2 linked regions of the Danio rerio genome follow. The protein of the gene in region 1 purifies or fractionates together with the protein of each later gene. This does not show direct contact. Links are inferred from orthologs where the notes say so. Each region holds a gene or a part of one and is shown on either strand. Other genes may lie near its edges.

Region 1 (10,352 bases):
TATATGTACTTGTAAAGTTTCTTATAGTCAGTTAAATGTCTGTTGAAGGAGCATATCAACAGATATTATGCTGAAAGTCTACTAATACACAAATGAACCATCAAAATAAATTGTTACCAAATGAGCTGAAATAAACACAACTCTTAAGCGTTTTGGAGGACGACTTCATTAATTTATGTTCAATCAACTTAAATTTGTAAAAACTTGTTAGTGAACTTAATTCCTTCATGTTGTCCCAAAACAAATTGATTGTGTGGAACCCAGCAGTTTTTACAGTGGTGTGTTTGGACGGGCGTAAAACTTTTTAGTGTGTTCTACATTTCAGTTGACCAAACAAGGAAAGATGCTTATGTTGTGTGTACGATAGAACGGATGCAAAGGAGAAGATGCAAAGGAGAACCAGCTAAATAATAATTAAGTTGTAATATTGTAGTCACTTTTACTTTTAATTCATGTAGCTACATCTGTACTGTATCTGTTTTTGTTTTTAGTGTTTATTTAATTTAATCTTACTTATTTATTTTTATTTTTATTTTTAATTTATTTGGCAATGACATGTTCAACTTGAGGATTTAAATATACTTAAACTTAAGGCAATAAACAAAAATATTGTGCAAATGCCATTTCCTAACATCTCTTTTGGACATTTGTATTTTTTTTTTGCTTCAAAATTCTATAAATGTTAACATTTTTTTAATTATTTTTTTTCTGGAGTCTGTTCTAATGGTCTAATTTTATTTTAGTAATCAAAAATCATGTCCGTTCAATGTAAATGATGCAACATTTTCAATTTAGCAGCTATTTATTAAGAATTCAATTTTTTAAATCTATTTAATTGTATTTTGTTTTACTAAAACTTTAGAAATATTTCCTTTTTAAAAAATCTGTCTTGGAATAGTTTGTTCACACTTAATTTTAATGTACAATTCGTACTAGTAACACACCATTAGCTAAAATGTTTTTAATAATAAACTCAACAAACTACTAATTTTCTGCTTAATAATAGTTAGTAAAATGATACTTGCGTTTAGGTATTGGGTAGGATTAGAAAGGTAAATAAAATCATACTTTATAAGTGCTAATAAACAGTTAATAACTTAATAATAGTCAGGGGATAAGCCTGTAGTAAATGGTGTGAACTGTTACTTAAACTAAAGTGCTTCCAAAAGTTTTTATTTATATAGTTTGGTGTTACTTTGAGAACTACATTTTAACAGATATTAATAAGCCACAGTTCATCAAGTTAAACTAAACTTTTGTTCTGATGGGTTGTCACAGAGATGTTTGCTGATGAAGTGAGCCTCAGATCAGCTCTGACGAAGTTCAAGTGTTCATATCCTCAAATAATAAGACAGAGATTAAAAACTTGAGTCTTCAGTTGATCTTCTTATGCGTTCCAAAGAAGAAAGAAGCTCAAACCGGTTTGTGACAAGTCAAGGGTGAGAAAATGATGACAGAATTGTCATTTCTGAGTGAAATATCCCTTTAATACTTTTGGTGACATCTGTATGATTCACTTTTAGTATTACATATTCTGATTGGATTAGGGTCCTTTAGTTTAGTCCTTTAGTTCATGAAAAATGTATTGACTTTATGAGCTATGAAGATATTTCATCAGTTTATTAAAATTTTACAGAAATGGCAGGATGGTTTTACAGAAAAATTCAAACAAATATGATCCCTAACCCTTCTCGGATAAACAAAATAAAATTACAATTACACACACAAAAAAAGACAAATAAATAAATTTAAATTTTAAAAGCGTAGTTAGTGTCAGTTATGTACACTGTAAAACCCAACAGTCAACTTTATCAAATGAAATGACTGTAGTTAACTCAAAACTTGCTGAATGGTAATTATACTCATTTGAAAAGAGTTTTGAACTTTTAATTAAATACCTCATTACTTCAAGTTAAATGGAGTAAGTTCACAGTACTCATCATAGATTAGTTTTTTAACTCAGATGGTTTGTTGCAATCATTTTCCTCAAACGGTTTAAGTTGTCTTAACTTATTGAGTTTTACAGTACTTAGTTGGTTTGAGTTCTCTTCATTTGTTGGGTTTTACTGTGCTCAAATTGCTTCATTTACTCAAATGGATTAAGTTAACAGTACTCATTAGGATTAGTTTATAAACCTAAATGGTTTGTTGCAATCAGTTTCACTCAAACGGTTTGAGTTACTTAAACTTTTTGGGTTTTTATTCATTAATTTTCTTGTCGGCTTAGTCCCTTTATTAATCTGGGGTCGCCACAGTGGAATAAACCTCCAACTTATCCAGCAAGTTTTTACGCAGCGGATGCCCTTCCAGCCGCAACCCATCTCTGGGAAACATCCACACATACACAGACACACACACTCATACACTACGAACAATTTAGCCAACCAAATTTACCTGTACCGCATGTCTTTAGACTGTGGGGGAAACCGGAGTACCCGGAGGAAACCCACACGAACGCAGAGAGAACATGCAAACTCCACACAGAAACGGCAAATGGGGGGTAGGGGGGTTTACAGTGTATGACATATATATTGGATCACTTACATTTGGAAATAACCTTGTGATTGTATTATATTATATTATATTATATTATATTATATTATATTATATTATATTATATAACCCTTTAATTGTAATTTTATTGTTGTTGTAACACATGTACATCAACAATATAAAATTATAAACTTAATCCACAGATACTTACAATATACTTAATTAAATTCACTCTGCAATTAAAAGGCTGTAGAATACATTTTCATTTTTATGATGGAAATCTATGGGTTGGTCCATGTTTGCACATTACAGGGTCTTATTGGAAACTATTTGTATTGTCATATTTATTTACAGCATAAGAAATAGTGATGAGTCTAGTAGCAGGTTTTTGTGCTTTTCTGAAATATTCCTACACATAAACTGCATTTGACTTTGTAAACAGCGAGATGGCCTACTTTCAGTCAAGCTGCGCACAGTCTCTCCTCTGCTGGTTCCACTCAATTTTCTGTCACTATGTGTTTTACCCCTTCATGTTTTGCCTGTTCCCACAGGCTAGGGCTGTGCCTGTAATTTTCATTGAATTTTCAGAGAAGATTTAGGCGGGCTAGGCAAGCGAACTCATCCGGCCCCGTGCCAGAAAGCGTCCCCAGGCAGCTGACCAAGCTCCTTCAGACCCACATGCAGCTCTCCAGACTGCTTATGTGACAGTGGGCTTCACGGCCAGCCTCATAACTCATACATGTCTGGTTTCTCGCAGCTCTCAAAGGGCCTGCGCTCAGCAGACTCGCAGCCTTCCTTTGTTTTCGCTTCTTTAAGAAGCAGACGAGGGCAACTGCTGTTGTTGGCCATGACCATGAACCAGCCGTCCCATGTTTTCACACAACCCTGTGCTGATACTGTGAGGTCTAAATACGCATCTGTTACAAGCATGCCATGTATATTAAGGTTGTTTGCTTTATGCTATGCAAACTACAATCCATGCATGACTAAAATATTTGGTATATTTAAAACACTTATTCCAGTTCATTAAGAGATTAGTGATGCAAAAGCATATCAGTGTTACTGTATTCTTTTTTAAGCCAGGTGTTTAAATTAATGGTTTTGAATAGATCAGCATAAAAATGTCCTATATTTTACACATTTGCAAAAGTAGCGTTTCGTAATAAAGGATGACTGAAGCACTAGTTCTGTCACAAAAGACACACTATTAGCTATACACATTATACAATATCTTTTGCACTATGCACTGAATCTTCTAGTGTATGAATTTAATAAGAGTTTTTATTTATATATATATATATATATATATATATATATATATATATATATATATATATATATATATATATATATATATCGATTGTAAATATTTAGAAAGAAAAAACAAGGTCTGAAATGTCAAAAGCAGGTAACATTTTTACAATTTGTAAAATATTTTGGTATGTAAAGGTATGTAAATCATGTGAAGGTGTGTAAAGCATAATTGTCCGGAATTTTGCAGCGAGCTATAAACACAAACACATTTGTACAAACATTATAAATTAAATTCAATTCAGTTCAATTAAAACAAAATAAATACAGATACATTAGAGCCAGAAGTGTTTTTAAATCATGAACCATATAGAGTAGGTGCCGTTCAAAAGGTGTGCAGTCTAAATCGTCTGCCTAAGGGTAAAGATGTGAAAAGATGTCTAGCTGAATGTGTCGAATCTCTAAGTATTGTCAAGCCTTTTTTCCTGCAAATGCATGACATAAATTTCATCCATAGAAGGCGGATCATGGCCTATAATTTTTGAGTCAGTTTGCACTGTATTATAGACATGACTTTTTTGTTGACCTGCTAAACCACACGGTTATTGAAAAAGTCAGCACACTTTCAATCATTGCTCAAAAACCTGACCATACCAGTTGTAGATACTCCAAATGTTTTGAGCTGCCTTATGAAATGCCATCTTTGAGGCTTTTTTAGCGTGGGATTATCCTGCCACTTTAAAGATGCAGATATTGTGGTTTGGAGAAGCTTAAGACATATTTTTAGGGACATTGTTATTCAAAATAAGGGCGTAACATAATTTTTACTTCCTCTAAAACAGAATTTTCTTTGTTTTAAGAGCATTTAATATACAGCAGGGAAAATAAGTATTGAACACATCACCATTTTTCTCAGAAAACATATTTCTAAAGGTGCTGTTGACTTGAAATGTTCCCTGGATGTTGGTAAAAAACAAAGAAATCCATATAAGCAAAAGAAAAAAATCTAATTAGTTTACAAATGAAGTTATGCATAATAAAATTAAATGACAGCGAAAAAGTATTGAACACATGAAGAAAGTGAGGTGTAGAAAGGCACTGAATGCCCAGACAGCAACTGAAATCTCTTTTTAGTTATTTAACAATCCTCTGCCCTTTGTCAATGTAAATTATTATCAGCTGCTTCAGTCCAATATCTACAATTTAAAGATGATGAAGATAACACCAGGGTGGACATTTCAGCAAGACAAAGATCCAAAACACAGCCAAGGAAACTCTCAAATGCTTTCAGAGAAAGAAAATCAAGCTGTAGAATGGCCCAACCAATCACCTGACTTGAATCTAATTGAAAAAAATATATAAGGATCAGATTTGATAGACAAAACCCACAGAACCAAGATTTTTACACTCTGTTGAACAGATACTGTGTTTTGGTTGTTCAGTACTTATTCAGTGTGTCAATCCATTGTTGTAACACACTGTAGTTTTCAGATTTTTTTTTTTGTTTTTTTATGTATATGTGTTTATTGTTTGGGTTTTTACCAAAATCTGGTTCAATCCAATATCATCAGCTTCTTTAGAAATATTATTCATGGAAAAAAACATGACATGTTCAATACTTATTTTCCAAGCTGTACCTTTACGAGTACTACTCCTTTTGATTAATGCAAAATTATCTTCAACAAACTGAAAATATGTAACCGATTCACTTTGTGAAATGCATTCGTGTAAATGGAAAACAGAACCGATGACAATACACAGCCTTGTGGAGCACCAACGCTATTCTTCTGTTCATTTATTCAAAAATCAAAATCTTGTCAACAGAGCGTTCATTATGTGTCTGTTCATGGGATTTCAGCAATAGGTGCACAGCGCACACTGGAGGATTTTGTTCTGGGTATACCTCATAAATATTTCAAAAAGGCAATACTATTCCTCATGAGAAATATCTAGATATCTAGCTGCCGAGCTCTACAATGACAGCCTTTCACATTGCCCACATAATAAAGCTGTGTTATTAAATCCATTCTCAAAGCAGACGTCTCATCGCTCAAATAAATGACCTCTCTATACTTACAGCGCTCTATTATAACACAGCATTTTACATGATGTCAAAGTCGAATCAATTAGTTCTTTATCCTCACACTGTTTTGTTCAAATAAATCTCACGTTATGTCTCACTTACAATAATTTCTCATTGTCACGAGCGCATAATATCACTAATATATGCCTTTAGTGCCCTTTTGTGTAAGCACAATGTGTCTGTCTCTTTCATTCTGCAGGAATTAGTGCTGGTAATGTTCTTTGGTGTGGAGTACGTGGTCCGTCTGTGGTCAGCTGGATGCCGGAGTAAATATGTGGGAATTCTGGGCAGGCTTCGCTTTGCCCGAAAGCCAATTTCTGTTATTGGTGAGTGTCTACAATGAAATCACTTTCACTTTTTGGGATGTGTTTACAAAGCCTAACTAGATTGTGTTGTTACTATGGACGTGTTTACATTTCTTTTGTTTTTGTTCTAGACCTGATTGTGGTGGTGGCTTCTATTATAGTATTGGCATTTGGCTCTAATGGCCAGGTATTTGCTACCTCTGCTGTCAGGTAAGGTTAATATAACAAATAAGTCACTGTGGTCTCTTTATACATTGTGGTACTGTGTTAATCAGGCCCTGTTTACACCTGGTATAAAATGGGTTTTGATCTTTTTGATCAAAAATAGATGGAGTCACATTCTCAGTTATACCTGGTACTAAATCTCTGTTGTGCCCTTTTAGACCTTTCTGTTTACCTTTTTTTTTAACTTTAAATCTACGTTTCGCAAGTTTAACTACTGTCTGTCTAGTCTGCCAAATCAGTTCAGTATAGAGTTTTTGATTTTACAGGTGGTGTGAAATTAAAGTATTTAATTGTGATGCTGTGTTCACACCAGACGTGGATAAAGCAGCAAGTGTGATTGATTTACATGTTAAGTCAATCCAAAGACAAGAATAGACATCCTGCGTCGTGTTTCGCATGACTGAGGTGGCACGAACGACGTGTTTTTTGCGAACTGCTTGAGTTGGAAAATCTGATTTGAGGGGACAGTTGCGCTGCGTTAACCAATCAGGAGCTTGCTTTTATAGGGGCATGATTATGATGTAGTACCTGTTGTTGGTGTCCTATGGGGAAATCCTGTTTCTGACACCAGATAACAGCTCATCAAACTGGGCTTGGCTCAGTCTAAAGCACTGCTAAAAGACTCCATCATCCAGGTGTAGTTTCTGGAGGAGATGATGAACTCACAGAGCTGGGTGCACCTCTGAAAGGATCTAGTGGACTTAGGCACAGCGCAGAACAAATATATGCTGTTTTTCAGCATTCCTAAAGCACATAAAGCAGAGTTAATATCTCAATAAAATCCTTGTTAGCCATTTAGCAACGAAGCTAGAGTCACTGTGCAGAAAGATGCCTTGCCCATGACACAAATCTGCAAATTAAGAACTGCTTTTTTTCTAGCTGAAATAAAACAAATAAGACTTTCTCTAGAAGATAAAATATTATCAGACATACTGTGAAAATATCCTTGCTCTGTTAAACATATTTTAAAAAGAAAAAAATTAAAAGGGGGGCTATTAATTCTGACTTCAACTGTACATAGTAATCCATTGGCGACCAGATCACTCTTTTTTTTTATTTTTATGTATGTCAATTCTATCGGATATATTAAAGTGCAAAAAACTACTCTTCTGAATTTAAACCATTGCTTACTATGTTTATTGTTAATACTATGTGCAAAAATTAAAGTGATTCTCTTGCACTGTTGTAAGTCTTGCTGATATTGTTTACAGAGGAGTCCGCTTCCTTCAAATTCTGCGAATGCTGCATGTGGATCGACAAGGTGGAACATGGCGGTTGCTTGGATCAGTAGTGTTTATACATCGACAGGTGAAGACGATGTGTTTTGGATTTGTAATTCATTACAGTGCACTACATTCTTAATAATAATAGGCAGGGCTGGACTGGGGCAAAAAATCGGCCCTGGCATTTTGGGCCACAGTGGCCCACTACATTCAATCAAAATGCTATCTATCTATGCACGTCCAGTATTTTAATCAAATCATATTTTATAAAACACAAAAGCCATATATATGAAATAAATAAATACAAACTTTAATCTCAATTTCATTTCTGTATACTGTCCATGAAGATATTTGTTGAGTTCTAAAAAATACACTATTCAATCATTTTTCTTCGCATATGTCCCTTATTTATCAGGGGGTTGCCGCAGTGGAATGAACTGCCAACTATTCCAGCATGTTTTATGCAGCAGATGCATTTCCAGCCCCAACCCAATATTGGAAATCACCCATACACACTCATTCACACACACTCATACACTACGGCCAATTTAGCTTATTCAATACACTATTCACTCAACCTATATTCAATAATAAACATAACAAAAACTGCCTGCTGATGCATGGGTAAATCTTCAAAGGGAACAGTGTTACATTTTATCCTCTTTCACCTCATCCTGCTTGCTGTTTCACTATCTAAACAATGAAGACATAATATAAGTCAAATTTGTTTCATTTTGATATTGTGATTAACAGACACTAAACAGCCTCGTGTAGCTGCATACTTATATGAGCGTCATCTTCACTCTGCATATTTATTTATTTATTATTAGTGTGTGGTCACGTGATTTGCGTTTTTAGCCGTGACTAGAATGACCGGAGAACTTTTCAGAACTGCAAAATGAAACGCCGGTGTATTTCCCGCGATTTCTCTGCGCCTCCCTTGCATTTCTTCTCTCTGACTCTCGACTATTTTGACAAATAAACACAGACGACGCACGCTCATACAGAGCCCAAAATAGGAGTTTGTGATTGGGCCATCCCCAATGTCAATACAGAAATGAGCCAATGGGCTGCAGAGTGTCACATGGGCCGACCCGGTCTGTCTGTCCGGGGGGGAAAAAAAGCATCTTTCAGAGAGTCACAGATCACAGCAGCGTCAATTAATAAGGCAGAAAAAAACAATAGGCTGCTAAGCCTTTTATGGGACGATAAGATCATAAGACGATGATCAGCCCGGCCCAAAAAGTACGTCGGCCCACCGGGAAAGTGCCCAGTCTGCCAGATGGCCAGTCCGCCCCTGATAATAGGCTAGTTACAGAATAGGAACTAGGCCTCATGCAAGCCTAGTTCCCAGAGAACTAATCTCCCCCACAGAACATTTCGAGGTTGCATTTGCAGCATCATCAGGAAGTGATGAAAGCCGCACGTTATGCTCCAGTGTGAAAACTCTTCATAATTAAGCATTTATGTCAATAGAGAATTGATTTATTCTTTTCTCATGGAAATGTGTGTTTGCAGTTTATGAAAAGGACCAATTACACTGATCAGCGGTCTGTTTACACTGCAGGGTTTCAGTTAGAATTCACACTCTTTCAATGGCAAGTTATTACCAAATTCTGGGTCAAATATTTCATACGTGCTTGCTATTTTTTTTGTGTCTTCTTGGAGGTTTGTATTTGTACAAAGTATTGAGATGTCACTGTGTTGTGGTAAAGGATTTAAATTATTAAAGTACCAAATTTAGTCTCAGTGTTTCCTGCACACACTTTTAACCTGGTGGAATCTTTAGCAGTACAACAAAAAAAGGAAGCCCTTTATTTTACAATATATGTACTTGAATTGCACTTGGCTTAGAAGCTGTAAAGATTAGGTTCGGGGTTAGGTTTAGAGTTAGTTACTAGTTATTTTCCAGTTTTTGTGATGACTGTGAAGAAACAGGACTGTAAAATAAAGTGCCATTGTTGATATTTCAGTAAGCATACAGTCTGAATCATATGTCAAATACTGCATAACAGTAAATAATGAGCTGTCCTTGTGGGCTCAGCCTAAAAAAATGTACCACATGTATTAAAGTTTATTGAGAAATGACTCTTATGAGCCATTTCAAATGAAGCAAAAATATAGCAGTGAAGCCCTATTCTCTTTTATGTCTAGACTTTAAATAATTCAGAGTGTATCTGCAAAAGCAATATCCCATATTTTAGACCATAGGCAAAGATAGCATTTCATGATGAAGCTTGACTGAGTCACTATTCTCCCAAAAATATGCACTATATACTGTCAGGTCCAAAAATATTGGAACATCAACACAATTTCAATACACCAACACAATTGATCTGTACTGAAATGAACAAGATGTGCTTTAACTGCAGACTATCAGCTTTAATTTGAGGGTATATACATCCAAATCGGGTGAACAGTGTAGGAATTACAACAGTTTGCATATGTGCTTCCCACTTGTTAAGGGACCAAAAGTAATGGGAGAGAATAATAATCATAAATCAAAGTTTCACTTTTTAATACTTGGTTGCAAATCTTTTGCAGTCAATTGCAGCCTATATACCCTCAAATTAAAGCTGACAGTTTGCAGTTAAAGCACTTCTTGTTCGTTCCATTTTAAATCCATTGTGTTCGTGTATAGAGCCACAAATGTTTGAATTGTGCTGATGTCCCAATATTTTTGGACCTAACTGTACATTAGTATTACACTATGCTCTTAACTGTCCAGAGTATGAACTTACTATTAGAGTCCAAAAGCACCATTGAACCACA
Region 2 (10,352 bases), on another chromosome or scaffold:
GATTTGAAGCCAAGCGGATCAGACATGGTTGTAACCAACGACAACAAGAAGGAATACATCGAGTGAGTGTTTGTTTCTCTTGCTCCATATGCAAAACCCTACAAATGGTATACATTATGTTTTATTAACAATATCCTTTTGTGACTCTGTACAGTCTGGTGATTCAGTGGAGGTTTGTGAACAGGGTCCAGAAACAGATGAACGCCTTTTTGGAAGTACGTGATCAGTTAAACAGTTTCCTGTAGTTCTAGCTGTTGCCACTAGGTGGAGGCAGAAGTTTGATTAACAGTAATAACAGCATTCCAGTGTGATATAATGATCATGTCTTATATCTGCTCAACAGGGCTTCACTGAACTCATTCCCATCGACTTAATAAAGATTTTTGATGAAAACGAACTGGAGGTATTGGCTTCCCACATTATACTCTGCTGTTTTTATTTTTAAAAAATAATCCTTTATAGCTAACACACTTATCAAAGTGTCTCTGTTTTGTTGAATGAATCATTTCTTCACTCATGCATTTCTCTCTGAGCTGGTGTTTGCACAGGGAGTGAACATCACACTTAATTTCATCGTTGCAGCAGATAATAAATAGATAAAAGATAAAACCATATACTGTGGGCTCAGTCTGACAGCCAGTAGAGAGTCTGCTGTATTATTTATAATGCAGTGTATTTGCTGCATGATTTCAGCAGAGTGAAACTGTTTTTGGAATACCTGATTTATATACAACATTTTAAGTGTTTGACACGTGTGTTTGTTTGGTTATTGGGGGAAGGGCTGCCTTTTTGTTTGCGTGTTTGTTTTTTTGGGATTTTTTTGTTTGTTTTTTGTATTTGGTTTAGCTGTTTTGGGGGTTATTTTGTGGTGGGGTGGGGGTGTATTTTTGTGTGATTTGTTTGTGTTTTTACTTTTTAGGGAGTAGTTGTTTTTTATGGGAAAGATGTTTTGTTTTTTGTTTTTGCATTTTGTTTTTATGGAGTTGTTTTTTTGGGTGGGCTGTTTTGTTTAGTTTTTTCAGGAGGTTTTTTCTGTTGTTTATGTGTGTCTGTGTTTTTTAATGATTTTTTTTTTTTTTTTTTTTTATTGGGGCTTTGTGTTTTGGGCTTTATTTTCATTTTTTTAATGGTCAGACTGCCAGCATGTGTAAGCTCTTTAGTTATGTAGTAGTTTTAAAACCAAATTCACAAGAAGGGCATAACATTTGTACAGCACATTATTATTATTATTCATATTATTATTAGATTTGCTTGCCATCAATAGTTGAATGTTACAACTTCTGCGAATGGGGTGAATGTGCTAGCTCAAATTTAGGTATAGAAACACAAATTCATAAAGACTATTTAGTTTCTGTTCATTACTTTCCTAATGCATGACAATATAATATTTACTTTTAAGTTATTGACCGATTATTAAAATTTCTAAAAAAATAATTATAATATACAGTGCTCAGCTTTTATAAGTACACCCCCCACAAATCTCTCATTTAAAATAATATTATCTATAAGATGATTTACAATATTATATTTGTGCATATATATTATTCAGTCTAATACCAAATCTGGAGCTAATCTAACAAAATAACCTACGTTAAGGGTTAAAAAAGTAGCTCAAATTTGTATGTGAGGGAAAAATATTAAATAACATTTTAAAAAATAGCAAAAACCAAAAGAAACTAAAAATATATATAAACCTTTGTCGGAATGTGGGTTGTAATTTTGTTTTGTAATATTTTGCATGAATGTTCGGTGACTAAAATTATATTTTAATAAATATATCTGTTTAATAAATCTGTTTTGTTTAAATGCACCAAAATATATTACCCATATTCCCAAAAAATGGATACAAATATTAATTTTCAAAATGGGGTGTACTCATTTATGCTGAGCACTGTACATTCAGCATGGATGTAGGGAATATAGGGTGATCTAGAGGATGATGAGTGTAAAGTTAATATTAATGTGTGTAATATTGTCTGTTTCTCCAGCTGTTGATGTGTGGTCTGGGAGATGTGGATGTCAATGACTGGAGGCAACACACTGTCTATAAGAACGGCTACTGTCCAAATCACCCCGTCATCCAGTGGTTCTGGAAGGCAAGTACAAGCGTTAAAAATCTGTGTGTTTTGTATGCATCATAAGTTTAGACGCAATCATTCTGTATTAGTATGGTATTACGCATTTATAAAGAGACAGTTCACCCCAAAATAAATAATGTCACTGTTGACACCCTATAAATCGTTATAAACCTGTTTGAATTTCTTCTGAAAGACCCAAAAGAAGATATTTTTGGAAACTGGTAACCATTTACTTACATAGAAGGACTAAATATATTATCAGTCAATGGTTACAGGTTTCCAGCTTTCTTCAGAATATCTTTGGTTGTGTTTGACAGTAGAAAGAAACTGAATGGTTAAAAGGCAATGGTGAGGAAAATATAACAGAATTTTCATTTTTAGTAAACTCGCAAATTTTAGTTTTGTTCCTTCATTTTCTGATTTTTATGATTTATTTTATGCATCACAAACTGAAATGCATTGAGGATTACAAAAAATGTTTTTTTTCCTTAAGATTTGTATATAGCCAAATTCTCTACTTTTAATTTGAGGCATTGGAACATAATCCATTAGGTTTAAAAATGTTACATTTCAATTTTTCTATATTACATAATACATTTATAAACAACCACCAGTTGTTCATAAACAGCCAAAGTGCTTCATAAAGTCTAGATGAACTAAATAAATCATAAAAAAACAGTGTATCGTATTGAAAAACTCAACTCGTGAGACGTGATCTCAATCAAATGTATTCCAACTTATGCATGCGTGCGTGCGTGTGTGTGACCTCCAGCCCAGTGCACTGATCAAAGTCTGTTTGATGTGAGGCTCATCCAGTGTTTGCTGTGATGAAAGAGGCATTAGCAACTCCTTATCAGCGTCTGAAGCCTGAGCTGCTCTTTCCACATATATATATATATATATATATATATATATATATATATATATATATATATATATGCACATTTATATATGCAAAACATAAAACAGGATCTTTAAATCACACTCAATGTAGATCTTTTCTTAACATAAGATAGGTGTTGATCCAAAATTCCAACAAAATCTAACTTTTTCCAATCTTATCTTCATGAATTCAAGTCCTCTCTAATTAAAAATAGGGCATAAAAGTAGCAAAAATGATTCAGCGTTTTTTTTTTTTTTTTTTTCCTGAATTTTAGTTCACACTACTTGTTTGCGCTCCTGAATTGCTAGAATGTTCCACAATTTGAAATATTTAGGATTTGACACTTTTCTCCATATACACTACCTAACAAAAGTTAATCCCAGTTGTAAGAGCAACAAATACCTTCTAGTTGATCCCTTGGAAAAGTAGCAGAAGGTCGATTTTTCTGATGAATCACAAATACTGCAGAAGACCTATTGGAGCCTGCATGGACCTAAGATTCTCACAGTTTGGTGAAAGTTTGGTGAAGGAAAATTCATGGTTTGGGATTACATTCAGTGTTGGGGCATGTGAGATATCTGCAGAGTGGATGGCAACATTAACAGCCTGAGGTATCAAGACATTTGTGCTGCCATTACATTACAAACCACAGGAGAGGGCAAATTCTTCAGCAGGATAGCGCTGCTCCTCATATTTCAGCCTCCACATCAAAGTTCCTGAAAGAAAAAAGGTTAAGATGCTCCAGGATTGGCCAGCCCAGTCACCAGACATGAACATTACTGAGCATGTCTGGGGTAAGATGGAGGCATTGAAGATGATTCCAAAGAATCTTTATGAACTCTGGGAGTCCTGCAAGAACACTTTTGTCATTCCAGATGACTTTATTAATAAGTGATTTGAGTCATTGCAGAGATGTATGGATGCAGCCGTCCAAGCTCATGGGAGTCATACACAATATTAACACTAATACTAGAGGCCTATGTCTTTAATAGAAGCCACTTCTAATACCAAATGATCAACTACAAGTCAAGTTATTGTTTTTTGTTCCAAAAACTTGGGTAGGCGACAAGACATTTGTCAAGTAATATATATGTTAAGCTGCAATCTACATGGTAAAAGTGCTATAGAAGTAATAAATACATTTTACAATAGAATATGAAGGTTTTTATATTGACACTCGAGAATGTTTATCTAAATGCAGTGCATGTGTATTGTGGCTGTTTTGAGTACATTAAGTAGAAAGCTTTATGTCAATGATTTTTTTTATTGATGGTTATTTAAACGTGAATCTACTGTATGTATTTCTTCAAAAGTTCCAACACTGTTTTGTCTATGTAATAATTTTAAGCTCATTGACTGCTAGTTAGTGGTATAACTGTATTTCTCTTATGGTCTCCATTAGGCTGTGTTGTTAATGGATGCAGAAAAGCGCATCAGGCTTCTACAGTTTGTCACTGGAACATCCAGAGTGCCAATGAACGGCTTTGCTGAACTCTACGGTAAAACTCTACATACACTGCCACATATATGTATAGTAGATATGCCCTGGCTAATATGTCATATATTCCAGTTATTTTCAAACATCAAAAATGTTTTCAGATATTGTCAAAATCTCAATTCATTAATGATGTATGGTTTGTTAAGATACATCTGCTTGAAAATCCGGAATCTGAGGCTTAAAATAAAAGAGAAAATCCCCTTTAAAATTGTCTAAATGAAGTTGATAGCAAAGCATATTACTAACTAAAAATTAAGTTTCAGTATATTTACAATAGGAAATGAACAAAATATCTTCATTTATGGTCCAGGGTCACACCTGTGCTATATTGTTCATTTAAAACCCCCGAAATGTCAATATTGCGACAGAAAGCAAATTGTTAAACATATACTTTGTGGAGTGCCCTATTTTTAATGTTATCAGACAACAGTTTTTATCTGGAAAGACTTTAAATGAAATATTTTAACAGTGATTCCTTTTAAAATTGCACAACTTTTTTATCAAAAGCAAACCTTAAACTGTTTTACATTTTTATCTTTTATATTATTGTTCTTATTATTTGTGTATTTTACCTAATGTATTATTTATTGCTGTTGATGTCTTTTTATTGCAATCATTTTGTATTATTATTTGATAAAAGGTTGTAAATTTGATCTGGTTTTGCCATGAAATAGGCAGAGAAGCTGATATGGCAATAATTCAAATCTCTCTCTCTCTCTCTCTCTCAAATTGTTAATTTATAATATAATAACAGAAAAAAGCTCTATGTATACAAAAAACATGACTAATAAGTATATATCATTTATAACATGCATAAATATGTTCTAGTATATTGTGGAAAACTAAAATGATCATTCAGAAAACATCACTATTAGTACTGCAACTAGAGTCATTTCCCTTGGCAATATCATGAAGACGGTCTGTTTGTAGCATCTTGGTGTTCCCATTTGAGACCTATAGAACAAGTTTGCCCCTTTTCTAATTGGTTCTTGACAAGTCATGTGGTCTATTGCAGGTTCCAATGGGCCGCAGTTGTTTACTATTGAGCAGTGGGGAACTCCTGACAAACTCCCTCGGGCTCACACCTGGTAAGACCTGTAGGGTTTCAACACTTTATTCATGTAAACACATCATTATAGGTTATCTTAAACTCTCTGGGAGATTTTAATGTATTATATAGTATTAAAATAATTGTTTTTATTTGGCGCATTTACAAAGAGAATATTCTACTGTATTTAACAAAAACCTGTTGTGAGTTATCTTTCACTTTGTATTTTTAAAATAAGGTAAAAACTCAAGTTATTAAAAGAGCATTTGTAGTTGAAACAATAGATACTCTATCTTGTCGATATGATTTTAATTTGATCAGAAAAAAGTCAGAAAAAAGTTCAAATTTTTAGAAGTCAGAAAAAGTTCACATTTTTACAAGGTTGCCAGGCTTCTTGAAAGTACTTAAAAGTACTTAAATTTCAGACATATGGATTTAAGGCCTGGGACGTACTTAAAAATAGAGGTCCTTGACAGTGCTTGAATTAAATTTGAAATTAAATTTATTTATGATTTATTCAAGAACTGGACTCAATTGTCAAAAGCAGAATGTAAAAATGACATAAAATGCACATCTTAATGTTTCTGTAACTGCAGATGAATATAACCAGTATTGAATTCAACAAATTTTATTAAAGTTCTTTCAAAATTACTTTTTAAAACGGTTAAAAAATTATTTGCATGTGAATTAAGTGCAGTGAGGACTTTTATGGTGCTACATATGCTCGGATGTGAATTACAAAGGTTCTTGATTTAAAAATAAATGGTGCTTTAAAAGTAATTGAATCTGGTGAAAAAAGTTACATTTTTAGAAGTCAGAAATAAAGTTCACATTTTTAGAAGTCAGAAATAAAGTTCACATTTTTAGAAGTCAGAAATAAAGTTCACATTTTAGAAGTCAGAAATAAAGTTCCCATTTTTAGAAGTCAGAAATAAAGTTCACATTTTTAGAAGTCAGAAATAAAGTTCACATTTTAGAAGTCAGAAATAAAGTTCACATTTTAGAAGTCAGAAATAAAGTTCACATTTTAGAAGTCAGAAATAAAGTTCACATTTTAGAAGTCAGAAATAAAGTTCACATTTTTAGAAGTCAGAAATAAAGTTCACATTTTTAGAAGTCAGGAAAAAAAAATATTTTAGAAGTCAGGAAATAGCCAAAAGTTTTTGAAAAAGTGAACATTTTTAAAAGTCAGAAAAAAATTCACATTAAGAGGTCAGAAAAAGTCAAAAGATAAGTTAAAATTTTTAAGTCAGAAAAAAACATTCGGTAACACTTTATTTTGTGTTACTGCTCCTTCAACAGATATTAACTGACTATAAGAAACTTTGCATGTACATGTCAACCTAGGCTAACCCTAACCCCAACTTAACAGTCTACTTATAATTTAATGAGAATTAGTTGGCATGTATGCAATGTAACTTAATTCATTAAATGAACCATCAAAATAAAGTGTAATGCCTAGTTCAGACTGCGTGATTTTAGCCCCGATTTTGGCTCGCCGACAGGTTTTGAGAAATCGCCGACAAATGCCTGAAATCACAGGCAAATCGCTGCTCGTGCACGTGAGTGACAATCACACAGTATGAACTTTCAAAGACGCGATCTGAGAGAATCGCAGATGAGTCGCCGATGCCTGTGAGATATTTGGCATGCTAAATATCTGGAGCTGTCGGCGATTCAAATCATGCCGTGTGAATTGAGTTTTGACTGAAAATAACATCAGCCATCGCCTACAGCCAATGAGAGAGCAGCATTCACTTGTGTGTGTGTGTGTGTATACCTGCTGAAGGCTAGCGGGAGGCTGGGGGAGAAGTTAAAAGCGCTCTTTTTCGGTTTATTTGGACCCATGAAATGGAGGAAAAACTAGTGGAGGTTTAACAGGACTCAGGAGCAACTGTGTCTGTTTGACGTTTCATACAGAAAGAAATTAGTTTATTGTCAATGTTGAGGAGAAATGGCTAATTCCCTTTAAACCCAGGTGAGCAAACATGTACATGTTCAACCCCATTAAAGGCTTCTTTCTCATTATGTAGTTAATAACAAAAGATATACTACGTGTTTTTGGCTGTGAGACATAGTTTGGATGAAGTTGTCAGCGATTCTTCCTATAGTAAAGTCATACAATGTGAATGTCCCTGTCGCTGATCCATCTTGCAGTGTAAACAAAGCAGCGACGAAAAGCTAGCCCAGATAGTCATGCAGTGTGAAAACATCTGTGACACGACTACTTCGAAAATCATGCAGTCTGAAATTGGCAAAACCAACAGTTCACATTTTTAGAAGTCAGAAAAAATACTTACAAGAAGTCGGAAAGAAAAGTTAAAATTTTAGAAGTCATGAAATAGCCAAGTTTAAAAAAAAAAAAAAAAGTCACATTTTTAGAAGTCAGAATTTTTTTTTTTTTTCATTTTTAGAATCAGAAAGAGTTAAGTCAGAAAAGAAATTCACATTTTTAGATATCAGAAAAAAAAAACATTAGCGTTTTTAGAAGTCAGAAAAAAATATTTGCGTTTTTAGAAGTCAGAAAAAGAGTTAAGTTAGAAAAAAAAGTTTAAAAATTTTACTTTAATACGTTTAATACAAATTTTATAAATCAGAATTGTAAAATATTATATTTTAATTGTTAGATAAAAACCTTTTTTTTCTCACAATATTTCATTACAAATTGTACATACATAATACATTTCGTATTTGTTATTCCATGCTGGCTTTCACAGATTTACTACTGCTAATGCGCTGAATGCGTTTTTGAACAATTCCATTTTCTCCCCATTCAGCTTTAATCGCTTGGACCTCCCAATGTATGAAACGTTTGAAGACCTGCGAGAGAAGCTTCTGATGGCGGTGGAAAACGCTCAAGGCTTTGAGGGCGTCGACTAAAGAACCCCCCTCCCCTGTTTTATACACCTGATCTCCTAATGCAACCGACGAGCAAAGACATGTACAACACACACATATCTAAACTCACATACACACTCTCTCTTTCTCGAGTTGCCATTGTACAGCCAGATTGCAGCAGCCGCAGGTGTGTGTGATGTCAGCAGTATATGCATGTATCTGTCTAGCTGGAACGGCATTAGCTGTCAACCCTGTCAAACAAACAGTCCTGCAGTACGTCAAGATCTTTCCTGACAAAATCACAATCTTTCCTGACATGTTTTATTTTTAAATTCAGCTATGGATTCTAAACTCCAGTATTTGAAGCCCCCAGTGGGTGTGGCCTCAGAATGGGTGTGGCCTTGATCCAGCATTAAAAACCACCCTTTTTTGCATTACGTTCAGCAAAGTGGCAACAACGAACTCTTTTATCAGGTTTAACTAACACCAGATTACCTTAGGAATGACAGCCAGGATGAAGGTCCCAATCCTCATCCTCCCTTATCCCACAAAATACGCCAAGTTTCCTTCCTTCCTTGGTCGAGGATTATTTTTTTATCGTCTTTCGCAATGCCAAGAAGCAAGCAGTTGTTTTTAATAGTTTATTATTCTCGCTGTTATTATAATTATCTTACAGAGTAAACGGATATTTGTACCAACAATGTGGTTTACTATTTTAAACGACAACATTATCAGAAATGCATCAGTGGCCTGGCTATATTCAAAATTCATATCATCGTGGGTAAAAAAACAAAAAAGACAAAAAAAAAAAAAACATGATCGACATGATTATTGTATTGCTATGAAAACTGGCATGCACATGTATCTTGTGTTTCAATATGATTGCGTAGTAATTCTAAAGCTATTCTTCTCAGTTCAGAGCAAAGATCGGCAAAGTGGTTTTGACGGAGAGGGTTTTCTTCAATTGTAAAAGTATTGTTCTTATCTTTATTATGATTATACCTGTTCATAATGCTGTAAATGAGTTTTGTTTCTGGGAAAGAAGCGGTTGGACTCTTTTACTGTACGTGTTTGAAGTATTAAAGAACGACACAGAGTGAAGCTATCTTAAAAAAAGCGCTGTGATTCAACACTGCAAGTCTTGTAGACTTTCAGGTCGTAAACTTTCCTTCTTTCTGTCTTTCTTTCTTTCTTTGTTTCTTTTAACACCACTGTACCTAAAAGGGCACTTTATTGATCACACACTAGGGTCATAACACGTCTATTTGTGAACTTGAATGTGATTATCTTTTTTTTTTTCTTTTATAAGCACTCATTCACCTGGTGCAATATCTATTGTTTATAATCGGCCTGCTGCTAACATATCAGATTACAGCTCGTCCCTACAGCAAATCTGGAGTCACTCTGCTTCAGTATGAACCTGAAGTCATTTTGGTTCTTCAGTGTGAATTTGCAGTCACAATGAATCTAGAATCACTTATTGTTCATCAATGTGAAACTGGAGTCTCTCTGGTTCTTTAGTGTGAATCTAGAATCACTTTTTGTTCATCATTGTGAATCTAGAGCCTCTCTGGTTCTGCAGTGTACATCTCCAGTGACTTTAGTTCATCAGTGTGAATCTGGAGTCTCTTTGAGTCTTCAGTGTGAATCAATCTAGAATCACTTTGGTTCATCAATGTGAATCTGGAGTCTCTCTGGTTCTTTAACCAGGATCTAGAATCACTTTGTTTCATCAACTCAAATCCAGAGTCTTTGTTTTGTGTGTGTGTGTGTGCGTGCGTGCGTGCGTGTGTGTGCGCGTGTGTGTGTGTAAATTTACAATCACTTTGATTTATCATTGTAAATCTGGAGTCTCTGTTCATTTAGTGTGAATCTAGAATCACTTTTTTTTCATCAATGTGAACCTGGAGTCTCTGGTTTTTTAATCAGGATCTAGAATCACTTTGTTTCATCAACTTGAATCCGGAGTCTTTGGTTTTTTTAGTGTGAATCTAGAATCACTTTGGT

What was found. Proteins that work in one complex are often made in the same cells at the same time.
Region 2: the proteins of kcnq1.1 (region 1) and nedd4l purify together in Homo sapiens (affinity purification with western blotting, with the first as the bait; 3 studies listed by BioGRID). This does not show direct contact. The link is inferred for Danio rerio from reciprocal best matches to the Homo sapiens genes KCNQ1 and NEDD4L.

What each region holds. Positions count from the first base shown.
Region 1 is NC_133182.1:50,423,169-50,433,520, forward strand, and holds part of kcnq1.1 (potassium voltage-gated channel subfamily KQT member 1.1), read left to right. Parts: intron 1-6,026; coding exon 6,027-6,153; intron 6,154-6,263; coding exon 6,264-6,342; intron 6,343-7,568; coding exon 7,569-7,665; intron 7,666-10,352. UniProt on the Homo sapiens protein: Pore-forming subunit of the voltage-gated potassium (Kv) channel involved in the regulation of cardiomyocyte excitability and important in normal development and functions of myocardium, inner ear, stomach and colon.
Region 2 is NC_133196.1:12,255,264-12,265,615, reverse strand, and holds part of nedd4l (E3 ubiquitin-protein ligase NEDD4-like), read left to right. Parts: coding exon 1-62; intron 63-154; coding exon 155-215; intron 216-343; coding exon 344-403; intron 404-1,988; coding exon 1,989-2,096; intron 2,097-4,363; coding exon 4,364-4,460; intron 4,461-5,474; coding exon 5,475-5,547; intron 5,548-8,284; coding exon 8,285-8,387; 3' UTR 8,388-10,352. UniProt on the Homo sapiens protein: E3 ubiquitin-protein ligase that mediates the polyubiquitination of lysine and cysteine residues on target proteins and is thereby implicated in the regulation of various signaling pathways including autophagy, innate immunity or DNA repair.